Arabidopsis thaliana: one gene and its partners. The protein of the gene in region 3 purifies or fractionates together with the protein of the main gene of each other region. This does not show direct contact. Each region holds a gene or a part of one and is shown on either strand. Other genes may lie near its edges. The genes, in order: hemf2, AT5G48480, AT1G76140 and LIN2.

Evidence for each region.
Region 1: the proteins of AT1G76140 (region 3) and hemf2 fractionate together in Arabidopsis thaliana (co-fractionation; one large-scale study listed by BioGRID). This does not show direct contact.
Region 2: the proteins of AT1G76140 (region 3) and AT5G48480 fractionate together in Arabidopsis thaliana (co-fractionation; one large-scale study listed by BioGRID). This does not show direct contact.
Region 4: the proteins of AT1G76140 (region 3) and LIN2 fractionate together in Arabidopsis thaliana (co-fractionation; one large-scale study listed by BioGRID). This does not show direct contact.

The regions. Positions count from the first base shown.
Region 1 is NC_003075.7:1,411,191-1,415,311, reverse strand, and holds hemf2 (Coproporphyrinogen III oxidase), read right to left. Parts: upstream 2,528-4,121; 5' UTR 2,499-2,527; coding exon 1,974-2,498; intron 1,886-1,973; coding exon 1,810-1,885; intron 1,731-1,809; coding exon 1,609-1,730; 3' UTR 1,553-1,608; coding exon of another isoform or gene 1,547-1,552; 3' UTR 788-1,546; intron 695-787; 3' UTR 530-694; downstream 1-529. Other genes in the region: AT4G03200 (catalytics), read right to left, coding at 2,746-2,931, 3,002-3,178, 3,256-3,459, 3,532-3,756, 3,828-3,938, 4,020-4,121. UniProt on the Arabidopsis thaliana protein: Key enzyme in heme biosynthesis. Catalyzes the oxidative decarboxylation of propionic acid side chains of rings A and B of coproporphyrinogen III.
Region 2 is NC_003076.8:19,642,691-19,647,365, forward strand, and holds AT5G48480 (Lactoylglutathione lyase / glyoxalase I family protein), read left to right. Parts: upstream 1-1,848; 5' UTR 1,849-2,123; coding exon 2,124-2,407; intron 2,408-2,751; coding exon 2,752-2,968; 3' UTR 2,969-3,626; coding exon of another isoform or gene 3,627-3,935; 3' UTR 3,936-4,150; downstream 4,151-4,675. Other genes in the region: AT5G48470 (uncharacterized protein), read left to right, coding at 159-227, 325-495, 578-721, 816-974, 1,087-1,152, 1,253-1,312, 1,393-1,437; DIR1 (Bifunctional inhibitor/lipid-transfer protein/seed storage 2S albumin superfamily protein), read right to left, coding at 3,627-3,935.
Region 3 is NC_003070.9:28,569,566-28,575,577, forward strand, and holds AT1G76140 (Prolyl oligopeptidase family protein), read left to right. Parts: upstream 1-1,564; 5' UTR 1,565-1,621; coding exon 1,622-1,923; intron 1,924-2,153; coding exon 2,154-2,373; intron 2,374-2,460; coding exon 2,461-2,661; intron 2,662-2,755; coding exon 2,756-2,826; intron 2,827-2,914; coding exon 2,915-3,077; intron 3,078-3,289; coding exon 3,290-3,883; intron 3,884-3,973; coding exon 3,974-4,354; intron 4,355-4,472; coding exon 4,473-4,548; intron 4,549-4,632; coding exon 4,633-4,696; intron 4,697-4,784; coding exon 4,785-4,920; intron 4,921-5,018; coding exon 5,019-5,132; intron 5,133-5,174; exon of another isoform or gene 5,175-5,221; coding exon 5,222-5,287; 3' UTR 5,288-5,471; downstream 5,472-6,012. Other genes in the region: ECH2 (enoyl-CoA hydratase 2), read right to left, coding at 5,671-5,758, 5,872-6,012.
Region 4 is NC_003070.9:868,335-873,210, reverse strand, and holds LIN2 (Coproporphyrinogen III oxidase), read left to right. Parts: upstream 1-1,902; 5' UTR 1,903-2,035; coding exon 2,036-2,560; intron 2,561-2,639; coding exon 2,640-2,715; intron 2,716-2,803; coding exon 2,804-2,898; intron 2,899-2,983; coding exon 2,984-3,067; intron 3,068-3,248; coding exon 3,249-3,336; intron 3,337-3,428; coding exon 3,429-3,553; intron 3,554-3,658; coding exon 3,659-3,757; intron 3,758-3,840; coding exon 3,841-3,909; 3' UTR 3,910-4,358; downstream 4,359-4,876. Other genes in the region: NAC006 (NAC domain containing protein 6), read right to left, coding at 305-471, 529-766, 818-919, 999-1,337. UniProt on the Arabidopsis thaliana protein: Key enzyme in heme biosynthesis. Catalyzes the oxidative decarboxylation of propionic acid side chains of rings A and B of coproporphyrinogen III.

The DNA of each region.
Region 1 (4,121 bases), on a different chromosome or scaffold from region 3:
TAAATTTAAAAACATTGGCAAGTTGTGTTGTGTAAGGTAAGCCATAATAACAACACCCATGTATTATTTGTGTGTGTGTGTGTATATCCGGGGACTAAATTGTTTCTTTGTCCCCATTGGACGACATCGAAGAAAAAATATCACGGGCGTTTCTTGTATCAAGACAAATGAGACAGTGACGTTTACTTAATCCGAAATTGTTTAACCTAACACAAGTCCCACTCGTTGAAACTTGGAAACGATTTTTATACTAAACCAAATCATCAGATTCAATGTTATCACTCTATTTGAGTGTTGTTGTGTTCTGTCTAGTGAACAGTTACCGAGCAAGTGGCATGCGTGCGTGCACCGAGAGGCTCGGCTATTTGAGCCAACGGCTCTTATTTTTACTGTGTCAGTAAAAAAAATTAAAAGTTAATTACTTTTATCATCATCATCACGATTGGTACTATATACTCCATCATCAACCATCATGATCTTTGTTTGTCAGTGACTCATGATGAGATGACGCCAAATTACAATTTCTTTATCTCACTCACTTTTCATTAGACTCTTTACTCTTTTAAGGCTTTTAAAGACAAAACTAATAAAAGAGCTAATTGGGGAAATAACCACAATTAATTAACTAAAGCCACTCTTTTGGATTGATACAAGCATCTAATAGTTTCCATTCCTCAGTTCCTTCTTCAGGTTTCTGCATCCGCAACAAGAGACAAACACCATCAGTAGTTAAGTTTCATTAGCTAAGATGAAACAAGATTTAGTTTCTTGAATCAAGAAACTTTACATGGTCATATTCTCATCTCGCAGATAGCGGAAGAGAGACAAGGATACTCTCTATTCGTCCTCCAGTCTTCAGACCAAATGTTGTTCCGCGGTCATACACCTTTATTTTTACCATCAGCAACAAAACATGAGACGAGGTTTCAAGAGATATTTATACAGAAAGAAAAACAAAGCTAGTAGTATCCAATTACGAAGTTGAATTCAACATATCTGCCCCTTCGCAGCTGTTGCCATGCCTTGTGTTGCTCGTTAAATGGTGTGTCTTTACGTTTCTCTACTATGGGTATAGAAGCTGGTATCACTGAGCTTGCACATTCTGCAAAATTCATCTCAGTATTCAAATAAGTCAACTAGGAAGTTTCTTAAAACAAAATGTCACAAGTTATATCTTGGTCACTACCAGTGGCGAATGACAGAAGCATCTCTTGATCATAGTCATTCAAATCATCAAAAAATATCCCTCCAAGCCCTCGCCTCTCATCACGGTGCTGCAGGCAAGACCGTAAAGTTTTTAGTGTTTTCAAATCCTAGGCGACAACTTATCACTGTATCAACCTAAACAAAACCTTGAGGCTCTAAATCTATTCTTGCACATACATGACTCTAAAACTAAGGTCTTTTAGTTCCACAAAGTGCTAAGATCTCACCAAACAATCAGAATAGCGTTAAAGGAACTGCAGACCTTAATGTAAAAGTAGTCATCACACCATTTCTTAAACCAAGGGTAGAACGACGGATCAAATTTATCGCAGGCTTGCTTTTAAACCTACACAAAGAAAGATATTTCAATCAGCATCTCCATAATCACAAAGCTTCAAACTTTCAGAACAATGGATCAGGTTTAACGACCGAATGAAAGTGCTTGACGTCTTCTTCAAAGATGTAAGCAGGTGTGAAGTCAGTCCCACCACCGAACCACCATTGCCTCGGAGCTCCAGGAACATCTACAAGTGATGAAATCAAATGCTTCATCCAACCAAAAAATTGGAACTTTACACTTCTCAAAGAGGATTAAGGTCTTACCCTTTGGAGCATCGGTCTCGAAATAGCGGTAATTGAAATGCAGAGTCGGAGCAAAAGGGTTCTGAGGATGCAAAACCTAGAATGTAGGATCAAGCTCAATCAAAGAACTCAGAGACCATATCAACAGCAATGTCGACTGATAGAGAGAGAGAGAGAGAACTCACCGAGCTGGTTCCAGCGGCAAAGAACGGAATCGGACCAGGTTTTTGCTCAGACGTGGCAGCTTTAGCAGCTCTATAAGCTTCAGGAGGCATAACACCATAAATCACAGAGACATTAACTCCAGCTTTCTCCCATACATTTCCGTCTTGCAAAATACGACTGATTCCACCACCTCCACCGGGTCGAGACCAAACATCTTCCTTGAATTTAGGACCTTCTTCGACTGCTTCAATGGCTTCACAGACTTTATCTTGAGCAGTTCTTATCATTTTCTCGAAACGAGCCCTAACCGAATAAGAAGAAGATTGAGTTTGATCGCCGTCGGAGACTCTGAGGAAAGTGAAAGGTCTTTCTGTTTCCGGAACTTCTTTCTCGATTGAGACTGAGCATCGCAAGTCGAAATGTGGTCTCTTTACGGAACGAGGAAAGTGGTAAGTGAAGTAATTCGGAGAAGATTTGAGACGATGAGAAGAGAAGAGAATGAAGGAAGAAGGAGAAGTGAAGAGAGTCGAAGAGTGAGACGCCATTTTCAGCGATCGATCGAATCCAAGTTTTCACCTTTTTGCTGAAGATAGAAGATGATAAGGAATCGTCAAAGCTCTGTTTTTTTAACCAAACCAAACCCGGTTATTTCCGGTTTAGTTCAACCAAAAAACCTCATACTCGGTTTAGTTCTCTTCTTTATTTATCTACTCTGTAAGACTGTAACAGAGAGAACAACGTTGATCTGTTCCTTACAGTACAAGCAACTATTAAACATGGAATGATCTTTGTTTACTTGGAAAGCAAGCGAGTGAGAGAAGAAGAGTCAAAGACAGGAGGACTGCAAGTGAAGTGTTGACAAACAAGAGCCACCACTTTCTCTGAGTTTCTGTTCTTCTTAGCCATCTCAGCTACATTACTGTTATGCTCTTCCCAAAACTCGATTTCATCAGAACTAGAGGGATCTATGTGAATCACCTGCTCAGTAAAACCACCAAAAGTCACAAATCTTGAATCTAGAAATTTGGATAATTTTTTAAGCTCTTACCGTTTTATTAGGATCATAGACTGAATGTGCTGCAGAAAGCATGTTGGTAAGCTCTGGGGAAGACTTAGAACCAACCAATACAACTTGTTTCCTCGACGGAACAGAGATCATATCTGCGGAGCAGCACATTAATGGCACAGCCACCGCCAGTTCTCTTAACCTCAACTCAAAGACTGCCTGCAAAAACAACAACAAAGAGACTCAATAATCTCTTTCTATGAATAGCAAATGGGATTAGTTGTTTGTTTGTTTACCAGGAGACGATGTGCCGTGTTGAGGTAGGATTCAGCTTTTTCTCCGGCGACTATGGAAGCTAACCTCACAAGATTGATAGCAGAAACAGAGTTCCCTGAAGGTTCTGCACCATCATGATCTTCTTTTACACGAAGAAGAACCGATGGGTCTTGTCCTTCAGTATTGAAGTATGCTCCTCCTTCTCGGTCCAGATATAACTCATCCTAAAATGTTTTTAACTTTTTTAGCCAAAATCAAGAACTTTAACAAATCGAGCTAGTAAAGATCTCACTTGCCTGTGTTTCTTGAAGTTTAATCGCCCACTTAAGCCATTCGATCCCACCTCCATTCTCGTAAAGATCGAGTAAACCAGAGATCAAGAAAGCATAATCGTCTAAGAAGGCAGGAGCTTTGGATGGCCCCTGTCTGTAACTGTGTTGTAATCTGCGAGACTGCTCATCATAGAGATTTCCTCTGATAAACAAAGCTGCTTTCTCTGCAACCTCTATGTAATCCTCTGGCTGAAAAATGAGTCTTCTAATTACAAAACGGTCAAAGAAGAAATTAAAGGAAAGGGTGTAGCATTCATTACCTGACTATTCACCACAGGGAAATAATATTTGGTGCTTTCAGGCTCAGCCTTAAGAATCTTGGAAGCTCTTGCGAAAGACGAGATAACAAGACCGTTCCAAGACACGATTATCTATGAAAGAAATCTTAAATGGTTAACAAATCTGAAGAAACAGTAGAGAAGACAACATGAGAATTCCAAGAAGAGTATTACCTTATCATCTAGATGCGGCTTAGGTCGCTTCAATCTGACATCGAAAAGCTTTCTTCGGCATTCACCTAATATCTCCTGATACTTCTCAACAGAGAGGCTAAA
Region 2 (4,675 bases), on a different chromosome or scaffold from region 3:
TTGCTACATAGAACGACCAGGATAGCTAGAATTGCTTTTGCAATGTAGTGTAGCAAATATTACATGTTCTCTGGATTTTATGGCTGTTGTTAGTCTTGCCATTAGTTCTGTAGCATAAGCTGGGACAAAGGATTAAAGAATTTTTGTTTTGGATTCAGAGAAAGTCTTTACTAGAGGTCGTCAAGGAGACTGTCTTATCTCATCTCACCAAGAAATGCCCTCCTCATGTGAGTAATATTAAGATTAGTTTCTTCTTACTTTCTAAATTTTTCATTAGCTTCATTTCATGTTTTTAATTTTGTGTAAGTGTTGCTCCATATTTAGGTCCAGGTGATTGGTTTACTCTGTAGAACCCCGAAAAAGGAAAGTAGACATGAGCTTCTGCGTAGGGTGGCTGCAGGTGGTGGGGCTTTTGAAAGTGAGAACGGTACTAAACTTCATATACCCGGAGCAAATCTGAATGACATAGCTAATCAAGCTGATGACTTGCTAGAGGTACTTGTGTTTGTTTAAGTATAGATATCAATCTGTATTTGAGATAGTTTGAGAATGTGAACAAGTCTGAGGATTTTTGCAGACTATGGAAACAAGGCCAGCTATTCCGGATCGAAAACTACTAGCGAGGCTTGTTTTGATTAGAGAGGAAGCCCGGAACATGATGGGAGGAGGTATACTTGATGAAAGAAATGACCGAGGTTTCACTACTCTTCCTGAATCAGAGGTTTGTGTGACAAACTATTATGTCCATGATGCTGTGTTTGTGAACATTTTTTAAACATTGAGATACAGTGACTTGTTGCTTGATCGTCAAACAGGTGAATTTCTTAGCCAAATTGGTAGCTTTGAAACCTGGAAAGACTGTGCAGCAGATGATCCAGAATGTAATGCAAGGGAAAGATGAAGGCGCAGATAATCTTAGCAAAGAAGACGATTCTTCTACCGAAGGAAGAAAACCAAGTGGATTAAATGGAAGGGTAAGTATGATCAAGTGACACATTGTTTTGTTAAAAGAGAAGACTTTTTCAGTAGGCTCTGAACCAAAGATATGTCTTCTTTTCTTACTTGGCCTACTTGATGCGATCTCAGGGAAGCGTTACAGGAAGAAAACCGTTACCAGTAAGACCAGGAATGTTTCTAGAAACTGTCACAAAGGTATGTTTCCAACATTCCTCGATCCCCTATGTTCAACAGATGATAGTAATAGAGAACATTGACCACTTTTTTATGTGATGTTTAAATCCAATCTTGATAGGTACTGGGAAGTATATACTCGGGTAATGCCTCCGGGATAACAGCACAACATCTAGAATGGGTAAGTTCCTCATAACACCAAAACATTTGCAACCAAAGTCTCGTTTCTTTGCATTCATCATAGTTTATTTCTGTTCACAGGTTCACCAAAAAACCCTCCAAGTTCTTGAAGAAATCGCTTATTAGTAATATCTTTTGTTACATCAAGAAAGACTCGCAGGTAGAGATTGCGTCCTGAAATAATCTTGATCGGTATATAATTTGTAATTTGGTTGGTTGATATGACATATAATGTCTCTCTACTAAACTATGCACATCCATTAAACCTCAAAAGTTACATGTGACGTAAAATAAAATTGGAAAGGGATAGAAGAAAAAAAAGAATAATGGTAGTGATATTAACATATCTTTAAACCCATTCGAAACGGATGGGAAAAAATAAAATCGTAACTTTTGTCCTATGTGTACCATTCAGAGTTACACAATGATAACAAACTAAAATATTTGATGACACAGTATATAACAAAGATTAAAATATTCGAGTAACCAATTTTAATTGATTTCTTTCCAACGGTTTAATAGAGGAGACATGCGAACGAGACACGAGTCCTATAGGGTAGTAAATGAAAAGTGATTAGTAGGGGCATATTCACGTAAATAAATCAAAAAGTAAGGGTAAAAATCCACGGACGTGAGAGCAATTGTTATATCCATTTGAAATCCTCGTCAGGTTACACGAAACGATTCCGCTTCTCCGCTTCCTTCATAAATATCTCACTCATCGTCTCTAGATTGTTCTTTCACACGCAATTTTCATTTCTCTCTTAACCGTAAACGAATCTCTCTTCTCAAAGTTTTATTTTCTCTCTGCGATGGCTCAAGAAGATGTTACTGCTGTTGCTACTAACGGTGCTGGTCCGGTGGAGACGCATCTTGTCTTCACTGAGTTCAAGCAGATGTTGCTCGTTGAAGCTCAAAAGGTCGGTGACGCTGTTACTTTCTACAAATCTGCTTTTGGTGCGATCGAGTCTGGTCATTCTCTTTACCCTAAGCGTAAGCTTGACCAAGAGCTTCCTCATGTTCTCTCTTCTGAGCTTAATCTCGCTGGCTCTTCCTTCGTTGTTTGCGACGTTTCCTCTCTCCCTGGTTTTTCTACGTAAGTCTCTCTCTCTCGTTTTGGTGTTTAGCTTCTAGATCTCCATGTTTTCTGTTTTTTTTTTAGGTTTTTGTTCGTTTAGTGTTTGATTTCGTTTTAGATCTGGTTTTAGGTTGTTTTATTAGAAGAAATCTGGAGAATAAATCATGTTTAGAAGTTATTCCTCTCCCTTAAACACGATTTTTTTGTTCGTTTTAGATCTGGATTTAGGTTTTTGAAATGAATAGTTTTTGGAAACTTTTATAACGCTTAAAAAACTATTTTAAGTGGATGATTGTGCCTTTTCTTAAATACGATTACTGTTTACTTATGTGGTTTTGTTTCTTTTTTAAATCGTTAAACAGTGCGAAATCGGAAGGTTCGGGAGTGACTTTTCTTCTCGGAACTAAGGATGCTGAAGCCGCCGTTGCGAAAGCTGTTGACGCCGGAGCTGTGAAAGTGGAGGTTACGGAGGCAGAAGTTGAACTGGGATTCAAAGGAAAAGTTACGGATCCTTTTGGTGTCACTTGGATCTTCGCGGAGAAGAAGACCGTGATCACCGACGAGAACAAAGAGGTTTAGAATCTGTCGTCGGATCTAATTCTTCGTCGGTTTCTGAACAAAAAAAACTATCTATTATCCTAGGTTTATGCTTTTATTTTGTCTTTTGTGGAATCCGGTAATCAGTAAACCGGATCGAGTAGGCTAATGACTTTCGGATTCTAATTTCACCCCTTTTGACAAACTCTAATCTTGGTGAAATTGCATATTAATCTCGGGCTATATTATGTTTTGTTGATGATTTCGCTTCTCTATCTATCTTCTATAATCGTTCTGTGTTTAATCTGTGTTCTTTGTCATTTTTGTTGGTTTAGTACTAAGGGTATAATCGTCTATTTGGAATGAAAATGAAATGGTTAGTGATTAGATAAGACGGAATTAAGAATATTTGTTGTTTTGGTGTCAGAGTGTTGAATACTGTGTCAGAGGTAGTGAAACCATAAACCTCTGTATTTGTGCTTTGTGGTTTCTCTCTATCGCTTATTGGTTACATATTTTTCGAAATTGCCCTTCCGTGTTTGGGCCTTGTGTAGTTTTCGATTGGTCCTCTTTCTTTTCTTTTGACCAGTTTTTGGGGTTAACCCATAAACGCCATTTGGCAGAAAATACGATTTATTAATAACATCCGATATTTAGAATAGGAGTAATAAAAAACATAAACACACGTATACAGAGTCTTTTAACAAGTTGGGGCGTTGGCTAGACCACACTGTTTGGGGAGAGCAGAAGCGAGTTCAGGATCAACACCGAAAGAACCGAGCCATGGAGAGTTCTTGTAACCACAAAGACATGCAAAATCAGCGTGTTGCAGAGCGGTGCAGCAAGGCTGTGATGGGCTCGTCGGATTCTCCTTGCTAACCGCTGGTTTGCACTCATTCAACTCATCCTGGCTCATGCCGCAGAGATCTATCGCTACTGATGTATCGACCAACATAGCCATTATCACGATCATCGCCATCATAACCATAGCTGCTTTCTTGCTCGCCATATTATTATCCTCCTCTCTCTTTTTCTATATGTTTGTTTGTGTTTGTGGTGTTGAAATGAATGTGCATGAGAAGGTGTATATATATCAAGTTTTAGAGAAACCCGTGAACCAGATTGGATTGCTCCATATAGTCACGGGGATGTGTTTTTCCACTTTACTTTTGGGAGAGGGTCTTTTGTCATAGAATCATAAGCTTTCGGATTCTTATCAATTATCAAGTATCGATTACACAATTTCCAGTCCACAAATCTTTTACTACAAATGGAAAAAGAAAATTCAACTTGCACATTGTATTTGTATATAAAATTCTCTTTTAATCGAAAAAAAACACATTAATAAACATCCGCAAAATACTGGGCCTGATATGAGCCCAAGTAAGAGTACTCTAAGAAGTTTCACAAATTACGAAAATAAAACAGTTAGCGAGTATTACTGTTAAGTGTCAACAACAGTTAGCTACTTTAACCACAAAACAAATGAGAACATCAGTTAGTATATAAACGGGACAAAATATAGAACGAAGAATAAATCCAAATCTCTAGATTCTCAATTTTTTTGCTGTTCTATTTTCAAATAAATGTTTTATTTTCTTTGAGAATTTCAGTCCTATTAGTGTAATTAGTGATAAACTCATAAGCATGGCACATACGAGATGATTATTTGGTCTACGAAATGGTTTAGTGGATTTAATATATGTATTTTTATAGTTGATACTTTTTCACCATCTAATCGTTTTTCAA
Region 3 (6,012 bases):
CTTAAAATGGAGTATTTTTCTTAGGCATTATTATGACGTTTTCTTTTGTTATAGTCGGAATGTATACATTTTCTGTATAGTCACACTCACATGTTTCTATAGATGTATTTGATGTAAGTGATCTAAGCTCAGTATTTTCAATTGAGGTATATATATGCTGAGTTATTGTTGTCCTTGCGCTTATTTTGATATTATAGGTACTTTGTTTTTTTCTCTTACATTTATAGTTACGTTATAGTCTTATAGACTATTCCCACATTTTTGTGTTTATTTATATCGGTTGTTGACTAATTAGGTTTTAGATGGTACCAAAATGATTTGCAATTCTATGTGGAAATATGAAAGCAAAACAAGTTTACAATACGACTTTTGCCAAGCTCTTAGCATTGTTACGATTATTGGATTCTAACGTTTTTTTCTTCTTTAGGTAAAATGAGGATTTTAATGTTGAGAAAGTAAGCTTCGGATTTATCATGTAATCGTGATGATATGACATTCGATGACTTGGTAGATATGTATAATCCTCGACGTCTCTGTTGTGCATCTAGCATGGTTTATAGGGGCTCATTAAACAGGGTGTAGATTTATACATTTACCATAAGTTTGAAAAATTACAACTCCACGTCAAAGAGAAAATAAAGAAAATAATAAGAATTCAACAAAAACTTTCCCTAGTAACCTCATCATTGGAAGTGTGTCAGTAGCATTTAAATTATCCTTTCAAGGCAAATCTCCAAACTTTTCTACGCGATTTAACTATGCGCGTGACTCCCAAATTTCCTTTCTCGTTTATTATGTAGGTCAAAGTTGCTTTTATCTTGTAATTTTTTTCTTATGTTCGGTCAATTCACTAAAACTCCAGTAATTATTTATCTGTAGTGTAGCGTATGATTATTATTCTGCAAACTCTGCGTAATAGAGACTTTTTAAAAAACAAATGCAGTAGTCCAAACCTACTTTCTAGAAAGAAAAAGAAAAAATGTTCTTTAGTTTCCCTCCTAAACGGTGAAAAGTCTCTTTGTCGCAATTTGTTTACACATATCCTGATAAAACGAGTTTATTGGGCTTTATGTTGGGCTCGTTTATTCAGCAGGTCTGAACCTCAAAACTATATTATAAAGTTTAAGCCCAAAAGGCTTTAAATATGGTATCAACAACATATGCTTATGCTATGCATCATTTTCGCAAACTATGGTGTTGTATGAATTAGTGGGTTGTTCAAGATGTTTTTTCTTAAGCGAAAACCTATTTATACAGTTTGCAATGGATATAAGCTTTTGCAAAGTCTACAAAAGTCACATCTCACCACAAAAAAAAAAGGTCTACAAAATCACATGTATCTTTGGAAAAGTATCCATGCTTAGATATTTCATATTTCTGATCCAATTATCCAAACAAACATGTCAACAGATAAAATTAAAAAAAAAGCTAATCTTTTCAAAATATACAAGTCAAACTGTCAGAATATAACAATTTAGACTAGTTGATAAAAATATATTTTTGAATAAGAACATTTTAGATTAAATTTTGGTACCATAAAATGTTTGATAGAACGACGAAACCATTTTGACATATTAACGGCAATCTCGGGGAAGAAGAAGAAGCGGTAGAGAGAAAACCGATGCTCACAGCGTTTGCAAGTCACGCGCGTTCTCACGTTTTCGCGTTTGTTACCGTCCCAACAATCACGCGCCGCCTCCGTATAAATATCTTACGCCAATCACCTCTCTCCTCTTCTCTTCTCCTAAACGAAACCTTCTCCAATCGACCCAATTCTGTTTCTCGTCGTTGTTATTGTTCGAGCTCTGCGATAATGGGTTCTTCTTCGGTGTTTGGCGAGCAATTACAGTATCCTGCGACTCGGCGTGATGATTCCGTCGTCGATGACTATCACGGCGTCAAGATCGGAGATCCGTACCGTTGGTAAGAGTTCGTTTCCAGCTGCAATTTCTCTTATTATGCTTTTAGGTTTCCGGATGAGAACGATATTTCCAAATGAGATTTTGAACACATCGCTCTGAGGAATTAGCAGACATTGGATTTGACTTGGAGATTGACCTTGAGAGAAATTCCTAAATTGTTCGTGATTTCGTGTGATTTGTTCATTTTTGCTATGATTTAGCGTTGAATTTGTCATTCTGGATTGTTGCTAGGTTAGAGGATCCTGATGCTGAAGAAGTGAAGGAGTTTGTGCAGAGCCAAGTGAAATTGACAGATTCTGTACTTGAAAAGTGTGAAACAAAGGAGAAGCTCCGTCAGAATATAACGAAACTTATTGATCATCCTCGTTACGATTCACCATTCAGGCAAGGGGATAAGTACTTTTACTTCCATAACACTGGTCTACAGGCTCAAAGTGTGCTTTATATGCAGGTATTTGTTGAGATAAAGGCGTTTGTATCAGTGCATACTCTGTTCTAGCTTTGTTTTCTCATTGAATTTGATTGCATTCGGGTTCAGGATAATCTGGATGCTGAGCCAGAGGTTTTGCTTGATCCGAACACTCTTAGTGATGATGGAACAGTGGCCTTAAACACCTTTTCTGTCAGCGAGGATGCTAAGTACTTGGCCTATGGTCTTAGTTCAAGTGGTAGCGACTGGGTGACGATTAAGCTGATGAAAATCGAGGATAAGAAAGTGGAGCCTGATACTTTATCATGGGTATGGTCTTAAAGATGGTACTGACTAGTGGGGTTGATCAATAAAGTTCTACCGTCCAGATTTCTGATAGATTTATGTTCCTCTCGTGGAACAGGTTAAGTTTACCGGCATTACATGGACGCACGACAGTAAAGGATTTTTCTATGGTCGCTACCCAGCTCCCAAGTAAGTACAAGATGTGTTGGAAGAAGCCTTTCGATATAGTTCAGAAAGCTAAGTTGATTTACCAATTTTATCTGTTTTTGTTTTGCAGAGAAGGAGAGGATATTGATGCTGGCACTGAGACTAATTCTAACCTTTATCATGAGCTGTATTACCATTTCATTGGGACGGATCAATCTCAAGATATCTTATGCTGGAGAGATAATGAGAATCCCAAATATATGTTCGGAGCTGAAGTCACTGACGATGGGAAGGTAACACACCAAGTTCTTATGTTGGTTCTTTAACTATGGTTACGCTCTTAAACCTCAAATTTATTTTTTCTGCGCATACTTACGGAAAATCATTTTGATCGTTTCCCTTTTTCTAAATGATGGTCATGACTTCAAACTGTGTTACCTAGTTTTGTAGATCTGGAACTTGGATTCTTAGTTTTAGGTCTAATCAATGTTATTTCTTCTTGTAGTATCTGATCATGAGCATTGGAGAGAGTTGTGACCCTGTCAACAAATTATACTACTGCGATATGACTTCATTGTCAGGAGGTCTTGAGAGTTTCAGAGGAAGCAGCAGTTTTCTTCCATTCATTAAGCTTGTTGACACATTTGACGCGCAATATAGTGTTATCTCAAATGATGAGACTCTGTTTACTTTCTTGACGAATAAAGATGCCCCTAAGTACAAATTAGTCCGGGTTGATCTAAAGGAACCAAACAGCTGGACTGATGTTGTTGAAGAACACGAAAAGGATGTCTTAGCATCAGCTTGTGCTGTCAATGGGAATCACCTGGTCGCATGCTACATGAGCGATGTAAAGCATATTCTGCAAATTAGGGACTTGAAATCTGGTTCATTGCTTCACCAATTACCTCTAGATATTGGTTCAGTATCTGATGTTTCTGCTCGGCGCAAGGACAATACCTTTTTCTTTAGCTTTACTAGCTTTCTCACTCCTGGTGTGATTTACAAGTGTGACTTAGCCAATGAATCTCCAGAAGTTAAGGTATTCCGGGAGGTTACTGTACCCGGATTTGACAGGGAAGCATTTCAAGCCATTCAGGTAACACACTCTCTTGTAGCGTCTTCCTGTTTCTTTCATAACTACTTTTTACTTTGCATATGTTAAAGTGGTTTCTGCTCCTCTTTATAGGTCTTCTATCCCAGCAAGGATGGAACAAAGATACCTATGTTTATTGTGGCGAAAAAGGATATTAAGCTTGATGGATCACACCCATGTTTGCTCTATGCATATGGTGGGTTTAACATAAGCATAACACCGTCTTTCAGTGCCAGCCGTATTGTGCTTAGCAAGCATCTCGGTGTTGTTTTCTGCTTTGCAAACATTCGGGGTGGTGGGGAGTATGGTGAGGAATGGCACAAAGCAGGTTCACTTGCCAAAAAGCAGAACTGTTTCGATGACTTTATCTCTGGGGCAGAGTATCTCGTGTCCGCTGGTTATACACAACCGAGCAAGCTGTGTATTGAAGGTGGCAGCAATGGTGGACTCCTTGTCGGTGCTTGCATAAATCAGGCAAGTTTATATAGCCAATAATTCAGGACAAAAACGAATAATATGAAGCTAATAATTTGTAATTTTCGTCTCATTTAGTTGCCACACTTATACATAAATTTTCAATTCTGCTGCACAGAGACCGGACCTTTATGGTTGTGCTTTGGCTCATGTGGGCGTCATGGACATGCTACGGTTTCACAAATTCACTATAGGTGAGTGAGTTCAGTTATCTGCAATTTGTTTTGTTTGATTTTTTGCTTAATGTAATTCTAACTTGAGGTGTTATGTATGTATAGGTCATGCCTGGACATCTGATTATGGTTGCTCTGAGAATGAAGAGGAGTTTCATTGGCTGATAAAGTAAGTATATGAACTTATGATATGATGTTGTATTGATTTGTTTCCCAATGCTGATACAAAGTTACAATCTGGGTGTGAATGTATAAAGGTACTCGCCTCTGCACAATGTGAAGAGGCCATGGGAGCAACAAACCGATCACTTAGTTCAGTATCCATCAACTATGCTACTGACTGCTGATCACGATGACAGAGTTGTGCCACTTCACTCTTTGAAGTTGCTTGCTGTCCGTTTCCAGACTTTATTTCTTTAATGTTTAATTTATTTTCAATCTTACCTTAAATAGCCAGCAGATTGTTAAAACTCGTATGTATACATCTGCAGACGTTGCAGCACGTGCTGTGCACAAGCTTAGACAATAGTCCTCAGATGAACCCCATAATTGGTCGTATTGAAGTCAAGGCTGGCCATGGTGCTGGTCGCCCAACCCAAAAGATGGTAATGATTTTAGAAATTCTCGTTGCTTAAGCGTTACATCATATAACATACATTTTCCCATGGTTAACTGATATTGAGATGTTCAACAGATTGATGAAGCGGCTGATCGGTATTCGTTCATGGCAAAGATGGTGAATGCTTCATGGACGGAGTAAAAAAAATTCCTTTATCTACAGGCACCAAATATCTTTTCTCAATATCTTCTGTCCAAACAAGGACGTTGTATGAGTTAGTGACAATTACATGTAAACACATGTTTCAGTTTTTTCTCAGGCTTTATGTTCCAGTTCATTGACACCCAAAAAGGATTTTCTTCAATGCATTTTGCTTCATCCGGCATGTGCATTTTGCGTCACTCAACATTTATTACAACAGTAACACGATACAACTAACCATTTCAGTAAATTGTGACCGTCATCAAAGAGTGTTTATTGATGGCTCAATGGCTCATTACGCCAAGCAAACATCAAGAGTCTTCTGACATGTTTATTACCTTTGCAATATTATGACAGCCCAATATATCTAAGGACCTAACATTCTAAAGTGACGAAGATAACCCACGAATATCAACATAACCAGCTAACACAGTTTTGTTCCTTTCCTTCACTTTCGTCTGATATATAACCCTGTGAATACATCAAAAGCTAAGTTCAAGTTTTGAATATACCAGTGATATGGATAATCTATGTAATATATCGCCAAAGAACAATACAAGGTAGAGAGAGAGACAGAGTTCTACCTCAAGCCTTCAAGCCACATTTCGGTTATCAGAGTTTCGCCAGGAAAAACAGTCGTGAGGAATCGTCCAGATATGGTTTTGACAGCAGTTGGGTCACCCTTGCAAACACACTTGATGATTGCCTTGATTGCAAACCCGAGT
Region 4 (4,876 bases), about 28 Mb from region 3:
TTTCGAATTTTATAATCTTTGAAAACCAAAAACATTACTTTTAAGTACACAATTGAAATTCATAGCTAAATAGTTAACATTACTGCTGCAACTCTATATTAATTGTAGAGTTATGGAAAAACAAAAGTACAAACTAAAATAAAGTTCGTTAAACTAGAATTTTACCCCGGAAAATCCACTATTTTTATGATATCTCCTTTACCGGAGTTACACAAATACACTAACCATATGTCTATAGTAATCTTTGTCACATATCAACTCAACCCACTAAAATATAATTCTATCCTCTCTGGTTTGTGTCGTATCATTTATCAACCCTAGTTAGATCAATAATCTCATAATTCCCCAATGCGAGGGCATCATTAGGATTGTTTATCAGTACCATCACATCATCTTTTTCTTGCTCTTGAGTAACGTCACAATCTTCTTGACGTTGTTGTTGTTGTTGTTGTTGTTGTTGTTGTTGAGTAACTTCGCGAGATTATTCTCCATCTAGCATCATCGTCTCAAGGTCATCATTAGCAAAACCGGTTAATTCAGCCTCTTCTGGCTGCTCACGATCTTCATGTCCCTCTAGCATCGTCTCAAGGCTATCAGCAAAACCGGTTAAATCAGCATCTTCTGGCTGCTCATGATCTTCTTGTCCCTCTAGCATCGTCTCAAGGCTATCAGCAAAACCGGTTAAATCAGCCTCTTCTTTCTGCTCACGGTCTTCTTGTCCCTCTAGCATCATCTCAAGCTGATCAGCAAAACCGGTTAAAGCATCCTCTTCTTACACTACTTGGTTCCGTAAGATGTTGTTGGTGTTCTCCGCCACCTGAGTCTGATGAGCCTGATGGTTAACGAGTCCAAACTCGTTGACGTTCGCCTCTTTCTTGTATCGGATCCGACACAAGACAACCTTTTGGAGGTCATCACTCTAGTGAAGAGAATACTCCATCTTCTGTCAATCGGTCTTGACAAGCTTTCCATGCACTCTCCTGTGGTACGTGAAAGACTGCTCGTAACCCATCACCCTTTTGCATGTGTCCGTCCTTGATCTCTTTTTTCCCATCGTTGCTTCTCCAAGTGCCGCCTTCGCTTCCTCCTCTTGCGGCTACCTTCCGGTGTACGCTTAATATCTTGCCACCTCGTTCAGTAAGCGGAACAAAGTAGTACCACTCGTTGTTATTGAACAAAGGATTGTTTACGTGAGGAAGAAGCCAAGGGTAGTCTTGGTGGATGTCCATAGTTGTTATGAAACTGCTCTGATTTCTCTCCACCTTGTTTCGAAGATAAAGCCTCACCAACCCTAGATCCGTCGGACAAAACCGTGATCCAACCGGAAGAATCTTCATATCGATCGTATAGATTCGAAGAAGAACTAGCTAAGGTACCTATATAATTGCTAAGGTTAAAAGTGCTCTTTCGTCTCTTGTGTAATACTGCTCTGTGAAGCAGGGTTTTCTTGAATTCCTCGCAGGTCAAGCGGCTGAACTCTCTATATGATCATGAATATATAGACAACGTGATGGGCCCAACCGGATTTTCTTTTGTCAGCGATTAACTATTTTTTGGAAAGAATAAGACGGTTGTAATTACATCTATTTGGTTATTTGAAATAATAATTAGATAGGATTCGAATCTATAATACACTTTTGTTTTGTTTATCACAGATTCTAACGATAGATAAAGATATATTACATGACCATGATTTATCCACATCAAAATAGCATAGTGCCGTAAACCGGCTAATCGTTTTGGGCCTAATTTGGGCAATTAAGCCCGTTAAGAAGGATAAGAGCCTATTGTGTATCAATATCTTCGGTTCGACCAAATTAAACCGCAATTTTAATTTCGTGTCTGGTTTGGTTTCGGCTAAATAATTCAGAAGTGGTTTAGTCTGAGAAGACTGGAACTGTGTTTTCTTTTACCTTGAGCTGTTAAATAAAAAGGAAGAGCGGTCAAAATCAGTGGACGACGAAGACTTCTTATCATTTAATATCTCTCCATCATCATCTTCTTCTTCAGCATCAAATCCAAATTCGGATCAAACATGGCTTCTCACTCGTCGACTCTCCTCTCTTCTCCTACTTTCGCTCCTTTCTCCTCTCATCGTCTTCATTATTCTCCCAATCCCTCTACTCTCAGATTCTCCCGTCCAATCAGAAATAAACCTAATCTCGCCTTGCGATGTTCAGTCTCAATTGAGAAAGAAGTTCCCGAAACTGAACGACCCTTTACTTTCCTTAGGGATTCTGATGACGTCACTCCATCTTCTTCTTCTTCTTCCGTCAGGGCTCGTTTCGAGACTATGATTAGGGCTGCTCAAGACAGTGTTTGTGATGCAATTGAAGCTATAGAAGGCGGTCCTAAGTTTAAAGAAGATGTTTGGTCTCGACCTGGTGGTGGCGGTGGAATCAGTCGTGTGTTGCAGGACGGGAATGTCTTTGAGAAAGCTGGTGTTAATGTCTCTGTGGTTTATGGTGTTATGCCTCCTGAAGCTTATAGAGCTGCAAAGGGCTCAGCTTCTGATCAGAAACCTGGTCCTGTTCCGTTCTTCGCTGCTGGAGTCAGCTCGGTAATGAATCTCTCCCTTCAATTTTACGATTCTTGGAGGTTCTCATGTTTTATCATTACGGATTTCTGTGTGATTCTAGGTTTTGCATCCCAAGAACCCTTTTGCCCCAACCCTGCATTTCAATTATCGCTATTTCGAGACAGATGCTCCAAAGGGTAAAAAAGCTAAAGTCTCAGTGAGATTGTAAAGTTGTTGTCTTTTGTTTGGACAACAGTCTTAAGTTTTTAATTTTCAACGGCGCAGATGTTCCTGGAGCTCCAAGGCAATGGTGGTTTGGTGGTGGCACTGATTTCACTCCTGCTTACATCTTTGAAGAAGATGTCAAGCATTTCCATTCGGTACTGAGCCTTATTCCTTGTTCTAAAGATATGAGCTTTGTGATCATGGAGTTGCTTTTATATAAACTGCTCTTTGTTGTTGTAGATTCAAAAGCAAGCCTGTGACAAATTTGACCCTTCCTTCTATCCCCGATTCAAGAAGTGGTGTGATGACTACTTTTACATCAAGGTAAGTTTTGTGAGATCCTGAAGCATTTTCTGGAACTGAGGGCCTTATTCTTTGAGTTGTGTTTAGGGATGTTATAGTCAAATCTGAGAGGGTAGAAACTGCTTAGAGAGACGTTCAGAAGCCTATTGTTAGTGTGAGGGCTTTGAAAACTTTTCTTAGAAATCTTTGATTTTGCTTGCAGCACCGTGATGAGAGACGAGGACTTGGAGGGATATTTTTTGATGATCTTAATGACTATGATCAGGAAATGCTTCTGTCATTTGCCACTGGTAAGGGACTGATTGTCCTCAATCTACAACAAACGATTTATTTTAATTGGTCTAGTTTCTTGGTAGACTAATTTAGCAATTGGTGTTTACAGAATGCGCAAACTCAGTGGTGCCGGCTTATATACCTATAGTAGAGAAAAGGAAAGACATGGAATTTACAGAGCAGCACAAGGCATGGCAACAGTTGCGACGAGGGCGATATGTCGAATTCAACTTGGTACTATGACCAAAACATTAGTCTTTTTCTCTGTTCTCACTCTCATCTCTCCAATCTTTCGTTATGAACCTTGTTCACTAATGTATTTGTAATGATGGATGGAAGGTATATGATCGGGGAACGACATTTGGTCTGAAGACAGGAGGACGAATAGAGAGCATTCTCGTCTCTCTTCCGCTTTCAGCAAGATGGGAATATGACCATGTAAGTTCTTTCCTCATTTGTGAAGAAACTTGGTCTAAATTCAATTGAATATGGCAATGTAGTAATGGTGTTTGTGAGTGCAGAAACCGGAAGAGGGGACCGAAGAGTGGAAGCTATTGGATGCTTGCATCAACCCGAAGGAGTGGATCTAGCCTGTGTTTCCCATTGTTGTGAGAAGAGTGAGTTTATTTCCATTGTTTCATGTAAGTTTTGAGCAGCTTTAGAGGATTAGATAACTGGAGAGATGGAGAAAGAGAGTGTGTAAGGTCAGGTCAAAATCTAGTCTTGTGATGTGCATGTTAACATCATCTCCTTTCTCTCTTTGCGATGGCAATGAAGACAAACTAAGAGCAGTGTTGTTAAAAGTCAAAACTTACCAATGCAAACAGTTGGTTTCTTGCAAGTTTTGAGCAGCTTTAGAGGATTAGATTACTGAAAAGAAAGTTATACTCTAGCCTTGTGATGTGCATGTTAACATGCGTCTGTTACGCTGTCGTTTCGTTTCTTTCTTTTGCCAATGGCAACGAAGACAACTTGTGCATTCAACTTTTTCACAAGTGACATGCTTATCTACGGACTCTAATCCAAATCCATATCCTCCTTAAGAACCCAAAACAAAAACTTATTGCTCAAAGTGTTGAAATCTGAGCTTTTCCAAAGAGAAGAAACAGTGATCAGCCCAGCCTAATGTAAGCCATTAGGCCTCTTAGTATTTTTTTTTTTTTTTTTTTTTGTCATCAAGCCTCTTAGTGTTAGCTGTCATAATTTCCTTTTTTTTTCATCTCTCTCGTTATTACGCCCTGAATCATTTAATAATCCCCAAATAAAGCAATAAATTTCTATTTTTTGTTTGTTTGTACAGAATTCTATGCAAATCAGTGTATTTTTTTTATGTAGAAATAGTGCTTAACGCCTGTAAGTGTTAATCAATACTTTAATCTATAAATAGGGTACAAATTTAAAATTATTCAAAGACAATAACATCCTTAAAAAGAAAAAAAATAGATTCACTTGTCTTATTGTAAAAAGAGCTAATAATGAAACAAAGCCAAATGAAGAACTAAATATGAGGTTCATCAATTTTTTATATTTACTTTAATATTTTATTTTTCCCGACTA